Callithrix jacchus: one gene and its partner. Each later gene encodes a partner of the first gene's protein in a complex. Links are inferred from orthologs where the notes say so. Each region holds a gene or a part of one and is shown on either strand. Other genes may lie near its edges. The genes, in order: EIF3D and EIF3F.

Evidence for each region.
Region 2: EIF3D (region 1) and EIF3F share a complex: the UniProt entries of both Homo sapiens proteins name them as parts of the eukaryotic translation initiation factor 3 (eIF-3) complex. The link is inferred for Callithrix jacchus from reciprocal best matches to the Homo sapiens genes EIF3D and EIF3F.

Annotation. Positions count from the first base shown.
Region 1 is NC_133502.1:207,467,959-207,471,106, reverse strand, and holds part of EIF3D (eukaryotic translation initiation factor 3 subunit D), read left to right. Parts: intron 1-83; coding exon 84-169; intron 170-264; coding exon 265-394; intron 395-3,148. UniProt on the Homo sapiens protein: mRNA cap-binding component of the eukaryotic translation initiation factor 3 (eIF-3) complex, a complex required for several steps in the initiation of protein synthesis of a specialized repertoire of mRNAs.
Region 2 is NC_133511.1:73,844,839-73,849,387, forward strand, and holds the start of EIF3F (eukaryotic translation initiation factor 3 subunit F), read left to right. Parts: upstream 1-1,647; 5' UTR 1,648-1,663; coding exon 1,664-2,045; intron 2,046-4,549. UniProt on the Homo sapiens protein: Component of the eukaryotic translation initiation factor 3 (eIF-3) complex, which is required for several steps in the initiation of protein synthesis.

The DNA of each region.
Region 1 (3,148 bases):
AACCAAGCAGACGTGCTGGGTCTGATGATTGGCCTTGCCAACAGAGTTAGCTCTGTCTTGTGACACCTTTGTTGTTTTTGCAGGGGAAGGAAAGATACAACTTCCCCAACCCAAACCCATTTGTGGAGGACGACATGGACAAGAATGAAATCGCCTCTGTTGCATACCGGTAGGTGACCTCTCTGGTGGGTATTGTGACCAGATTGGAGCACGGGCCCTACTGTATAGGATCCCCAGTGACCACATGAGTCTCCTTCGCTGCAGTTACCGCAGGTGGAAGCTTGGAGACGATATTGACCTCATTGTCCGTTGCGAGCATGATGGCGTCATGACTGGAGCCAACGGGGAAGTGTCCTTCATCAACATCAAGACGCTCAATGAGTGGGATTCCAGGGTGAGCTGCCCTGGTTCCAGGGTGACCTCCGTCACCCTCCTGGTGACACCACGTCTCTATTCCCTGCAGTGCCTGTTAGCACAGGCTAGTTTGTGTCAACTGTTTCTTTTCCCTTTCATTACTTACAGAGCTGCCTAGATGTTTTTTGTCTTGTGAGTTTTTTCCTCTGCTTAGCTCCTTGCTGAGAAAGAGCATGACTGCGTGTGTGGAACTATGTTAGGTGTTACGAACTTTTCTGCTTATTTCTACAGAGGAACTGGTTAACTCCCTTCTTCCAGTACTTTCTTCACCTCTGTTCCATTGTGGCCTCCTGTTGGCTTCTGCTCTCTGAGCATCTGGGTTTTTTTCTCTCCCTATTATCTGGGTTGGCAGTTTTCCTGTAAGTCTGGCCGCTCTTCTTTCTGACCTCTTCATTCATTTACTGAGCCTTCAATCTTTTGATACCCTTTTTCCCAATTCCTCCACTTCTTAAACTCACAGATTCTAAGATCTGGCTCAGAATTGACTCTTCAGGGGCACCTTGAAAGAAACATGCTTCCTTCAATTTTCCTCCTCTTTCCATTCCCCCCTCCTCATGCTCTTGCTCCATGGTAGGAGGGCCGTTATCCTGTCTCAAGTCACCCAGCCTTACGTGCCACATCAGAATTGAAGTAGGTGGCAGTGCTCTTGGGTGCTCTAAAGGGCACTCTGGGAAGGGCAGCTCCAAGGCCCAGCCTGTGTTGGATAAGTCTTTCTGAGATGTAGTGCAGGGGGCCATTCCGTTCAGCCTGTCTTAGAGCCAAGGGAGTAGCATGGACTGCTGCTGAGTCTCATCCCCAGGGGTTTCTTACCCCCCATCACCTGTTGACAGAGTACACTGGAAGGTTTGTTGAGACCTGGCTCTGGGGCCTGTGGCCTTTTCTTGTACTTTTCCCGGTGAGCTCCCCACAGCATTCGGGGTCGTCGTTCCGTGTCGCTTTGCCCTCCGTGTTACTGTGCCCTCCGTGTTACTGTGCTGCTCGTGTCTCAGCCGTTTCTCTGTTCCCTTCGCGTGCTGTCTTTGCTGGCACCCCTCCTTGATCCCAGTGGAGTCAGCTGTACAGCTCCCTTTGCCATAAGTACCTCTTTGTTACACAGCTTTGTATTGATTTTCTTTTGCTCTATGACAAATTAACAGAAACTTAGTGATCTAACAGTGCCGATTTGTTAGCTCACGTTTTATAGGCTAGAATTTATAGGGCTGTGTGCTTGGTTCTTGTATTAGTCCATTCTCACACTGCTATAAAGAAATGCCTGAGAGTGGGTAATTTATAAAGAGGTTGAATTGGCTCACAGTTCTGCAGGCTGTACCGGAAGCATGGCTGTGGAGGCCTCAGGAACTTGCCATGGTGACAGAAAGCAAAGGAGAGGCAGGCACATCTACCATGGCCAGGGCAGGAGAAAGAGAGAGGCGGAAGTTGCTATACACTTTTAAACAACCAGACCTCTCGAGAACTCTACCACGAGACCAGCACCAAAGGGGGAAATCCGCCCCCGTGATCCAGTCCCCTCCTGCCATGCTTCTCCTCCAACATTGGGGATTACAGTTTGATAAGAGATTTGGGTGGGGACACAAATCCAAACAAGGCAGAAATCACAGTATCAGGAAAACTGAGTTCTCATCTAAAGGTTCTGGAAGAAAAGCCACTTCCAAGCCCATTCTCGTGCTTCAGGTCTCTGGCTTTCTCTGTGTCTGACCTTTACACCTAAATTTAAGAGACTCATACAGGCCAGGCGTGATAGCTCATGCATATAATCACAACACGTTGGGAGTCCAAGGCGGGTCAGTCACTTGAGGTCGGGTGTTCAAGACCAGCCTGACCAACATGGAGAAACCCCATCTCTACCAAAAATACAAAATTAGCCAGACTTTGGTGGCACATGCCTGTAATCTCATAGAGTTAGGTGAGGCCCAGCCAGGTAGTGTATATTAAGGTTAACTGATTTGGGGCCTTACATCTGCACAATCCCTTTTGACATAAAAGGTAGCATAATCATGAGGGTAATATTTGATCCTAGCCATAGGTTCTGCCCACAGTCAAGGGGAGGAGATTCTGTAAGGGCAAGGGTCACTGGGGGTCATTTTAGAATTCTGCCCACCACAAGCTTCAACTATAAACTCGTTGAAAATAATTTCTCAAATCTCCTCTAATTTATTAGACTTCCCATTGTTGTTCTGCTAAAACACCTTCCCCTTCCATTTGTCCTCAGTCTCATCATTGCCTCTGGGTCCGCTGTCCATCAACGTTGTCTTTCTCCTACCTAAGCTCTGAGCCTCCAACATCTCCAGCTCCTTTTTTACATTCTTCTGTTTCGGTGTTAGCAAAGTAGAATGCTTTGCTGTCTTCTGACTCAGTCCTGGATTTCACTGACCATCACCCTAGTTCAGGGCCCCATTCATCATGCCTGTTTGGCATTTGTCTCCTAACTGACCTCTCTACCGCCACCCAACTTCTATATTTGATTTATCTCTGCCAATCATTTGTCCAGTACACAGCTTCATCAGCAGTGCAGATTGGTAGAAGGACTCTCTAAAGTGCTTCAGCAAGCTGCATGCAGTGGTATGCACTTACAGTCCCAGCTACTCGGGAGGCTGAGGTGGGAGGATAGCGCTGAGGTGACATCGTGAAACCCCATCTCAAAAAACTGCCACAGCAAACTCACAGGGGTGCTGCAGGATATTTTAAATTTTTTAGGGAAACATAGAGACGTCTTGTCAGAGTACTACTATGTGGT
Region 2 (4,549 bases), on another chromosome or scaffold:
TATTTAATATTTCTCTCTCTTCTATATCCTAGTCCTCAGTATAAAATATACTTGAAACATTTCCATTCTAAATTGTCTGCCTCTCAACCCTGCTCTTTCCCTATTTCCTTAAATGTCTCCTTTCTTTCTCAGACACCTTCCTGAAAGAAAGGCTGGCACTTGCTGCTTTCAGTTCAGACTGGCCATTCTCTCACACCAGATTCCTAGTTTCTGTGCCCACCCTACCCTCAGTCCCCCACTGGCGTTGCTCTACTAGGATTGCTACAGACTCCAGGTCATCAAATCCAAGAGTTACTTTTCAATCTCCTTCTGATTGGCTGTTCACCTGTGTTTTGGGGAACTAAAAGAAAGAATGCATGTCTATGTAGAGCATTTTCAGGGGAGCAGGATCATGTGAATTCTAATAATGGAAGATTTCTCCAAGGAGAAATCAACTCTTGGGCATAGAATCACGGCTAAGAAGTTCAACTTCACCTATCTACTTGCTAGCTGGATGCTAGGACTTGACCCAATTAAGGGAGTTGATGGGTTTTTGTTTTGTTTTTACAGGCAGATGTTATCAGCCCCATTATACCAAGAAGGAAATTGAGGCTAGGAAAAAAACTTGTAGATTGTCGCTAGTTACACAGTGGGTTAGGGTCAGAGCTCCCTCCTTCACATAGTGATGATAATCGCTATGACCTAATAACTACTGTACATCAGGTATGTGCTAAAAGCTTGACAAGGCAGTACCTCATATAATCTCCCAAAGTACAAACTAGTGTATACAGCTTACAACTCTACTTGAATGTCTAATGGATATCTCAAAGGTGACATATCCAGAAATGAAATCAGGATCTTTTCCCCAAAACCTGTTCCACCTACAGCTTTTGCTCTCAATTGATGGTGACGTCATCCTACTAATCGCTCAGTACAAAAAAAAATTGCAGTCCTCCTTGACTCCTCTCTTTGACACCTCACATACAATTTTTCAGGAAACCCTATTGTCATTACCTTCAAAACAGATCCATAATCTTCCTGCTTCTCAGAACTTCTATTGCTACCAGCCTGGTCCCAGCCATCATCATCTCTCACTTGGATTACCTAGTGGCCTCCCAGCCGGTCTCCCTGCTTTTCCCTTTCTCACCTTCCTCTTCCTAACTCCCCCCACTCCCCAGACTATTCTCAAAGCAGCCGGAGAAATACAGCTAAGTTCTCCTTCTTGCTCATTGCAGCCTCAAGCTCCTGGGCTCAAACAATCGTTCTGCCTCGGTCTCCCAAAGTGCTGGGATTACAGGGGTGAGCCACCGCGCCCGGCCTTAAAATGCTTTTTTTTAAGGCACTTTGATTTCCATGATCTAAGTCTAAAACACGAATTTCCACCACCGCGCTGCTGTCTGGTTCCACCTGGCGGCGGCTGCACAAAGTGTTTCTCTTTGAACGCCGTGCCAAGTTTACCCGGAACTACTTAGCCCAGCTCTCCCTGAGTGCTCCTCGGGCCAAAAGCAAACAGCACAAATTCCGGAAGAAATTACCAACAGCGGGACCATTTAGCGCTCCGGCTGTAACACCAGTAACCAATAAACAAAAAGCTCTAGTTCACGTGGTGTATAGTCAGCCTATCAAGCTCCTGATATTCCTGAATGCCCTCGTTTCCGCTCCTGTCGCATTCTTTCTCGACAAGATGGCCACGCCGGCGGTATCACCAAGTGCTCCTCCTGCCACGCCAGCTCCGGCCCCGGTGGCGGCCCCAGTCTCGGCCCCAACCTCAGTTCCAGCCCCAGCGCCAACGCCAGCACAAGCTGCGGCTCCGCCTTCCGCTGGGACTCCAGCCTCATCCTCAGACTCTGCGGCAGCAGCGGCTACGACTGCGGCTCCTGGCCAGACTTCGGCCTCAGCGCAAGCTCCGGCGCAGACCCCAGCGCCCGCTCTGCCCGGTCCGGCTCTCCCAGGGCCCTTCCCCGGCGGCCGCGTGGTCAGGCTGCACCCAGTCATTTTGGCCTCCATTGTGGACAGCTACGAGCGACGCAACGAGGGTGCTGCCCGAGTTATCGGGACCCTGCTGGGTGAGTGGTCATAGAAAGTTAACATTCTTTACTTTCTCCCACTTCTCATTTATCTCACTTCCCTATCTCATTAATTCTTTCATTCTTGGCGTTCTTTCCTCCCATCCCCAGTGACCTCTTAATCTATTTTTCTGTTTTGTCTTCTGCTGTGACTTCTCAAGTGATTTGCTCCTCTCCTCTCTCTTCTCTCTTCTCTCTCCTGCCGGATTGCTGTCACTTTGAGTGACGTAAAATAACAAAGAGTAATTGTGTCATTTGCTGAATATTTTATGCCAGTGGTTTACATTTTTGAATGTTCCCCACAGCAGGTTATGGCAAGTATGATGAGCCCCATCTGCCAAAAATGAGTGCACATGCTGAGTGGGAAGTCAGGAACCCTTGACTCCCTAAATCCAGTGACCACGTATTTCTGCTTTATCCACCGACTAAATGTCATTGTTTTCCAAGTATTGACAGAGTTTTCTAACCAATTGGCAAAGGAGTGGGGACATTTGCAAAAAGGCATTCCTCCCAGCAAGTAAACCGGTTTGGCTGGAACCCATTTGGGATTTTATAGTATTCTGCTGTCCTAAACTTTTGAGCCTGATTCTCTGATTCTCAGCATACCTTAATATTAGTACCTAATGTGAGAAACCCTGTTCTCCCATTTTCCATTTGGACACAAACTATTGTATTATCTGTTTATATCTCTGCCCTTAATTTTCAGGTCAAAGAATAACCCATTCTCTGCTTGTGTTCCAAATTTGGGGAATAGATACTCTGTATTAAAGTAGTTTGTAAAATGAAAAAGCACGAAAGAGGGATTGTTGATAATTCCTCTCTGGAGACTATACTGATCCCATGAAATCCATCTCCATTCCATGTTAGTTCCAGATTTTTTATTTATTTTTTAGTAGAGACAGGGTTTCTGCGTGTTGGTCAGGCTAGTCTCAAACTCCCAACCTCAGGTGATCTGCCTGCCTCGGCTTCCCAGGGTGCTGGGATTACAGGTGTGAGCCACTGCACCTGGCCAGTTCCAGATTTTAAATAGCTTTGTGAATCCACTTTACTTACAAGCATCCTTTCTCTTTCATACTCTTGAACATGTACTGGTTCTTACACCATAAAAGACAATTGATATATTGCAAAGCAGACAAGATGTGTAAGCAGACTCCACACAATTTTAGCCATGTGACTTGACGCAAATTACCTAAAATCTGTTCTGTCAGGATCTACTTTAGACTTAGTCTTCGTGAGAACTAAATTAAAAACTTCTGACTATGCTGGTACACATTAGGTACAGCTATTAGTTGCCATTCACCACATCAGGCCTGGACCGACCCAATACATGCCAAAACACATTTTCTCTCCTTTATCTATTTTTGACAGTATAGCATTTTACAGAAACTTAAATTCATATCTTCTGAACGTTGCCTGTCTTTTCTCAAACCAAGCCTTTGTGTTCTCTTTGCCACAGGTGCCTTCCTTGCTGTCCCTCATTTATTTAACTTCTGCCTATCTCCCAGGTTCCCAGGAACAGCATTAAGTGCCAGTCCTCCATCCCATACCTGGACCCTCACTCCATTCTTAACCTTCCACAGCATGATGGTGTTCTGTAACTGCGCCCTGCTTTGAGCTTCTGTAATAAATTGTTTTTCCTCACTGACCTGGCACTCAGCAAATACTTACTCTTTTGGTTACACTGTCTCATTTTCCAAGCTCACTAGAGCTATTTAAAGAGACAGTTCGCTACCCACAGTTTATACTTTAGCACCCCAAATGTTCCAGTGATCCAATCAGACCAGCTGTAATCTAATCTAGAGCTTCAGATCTTCTTTCAGACTGGAATCATGGTACAGTGCTATAGGTGTTATAGGGGCAGTGCTTCCAGAAGAATAAAGAATAGATTCTGCTTGCTATAAACTAAGAGTTTCCTTAGATATTAATTCACAAAACATTTTATTTGTCTAAATGAAGTCATTGGTGCTTTTTTTGTACCATAAAACTGTTAGGTATTTAGAATTCAAAGTGTAGTAAGGTAAGCTCTCCTGTAACCTTAAACTCAAGATAGAAATATACTCTTAAATGCAAATAACTAGAATGTAATATAATAAATGTTCTAATAGAAGGGTGTCATGGTGGCATGGAACTACGGAAGACTTAACTATTTCAGAAGGTTAGGGAAAAGTTCACAAAAAAGATGGTGTTTGAGCTGGGCATTAAAGCAACTACAGGAAGTTAAAAAGGCCTGATAAGCCCACTATCTGAAACATTCAGTATTACAGGAATGTAGGTGACAGGAGGTAGAGCAGGAAATGAAGCTAGCAGAGGGCAGAGCCCTAAGAAGTATTGAATAATTACAAGTGTAAAGTGCTGTGAAGGAGAATTACCTGGGTCTCTGAGAAGACAAAATGGAAGTGTAACCTCATTTGATGCTCTTTGGGGAGGATCCTGAGCATTTCAGCTAACACTGAATAGAAATTAGAAATCACTCTGACTTTGGGAGGCTGAGGCGGGCAGATTGC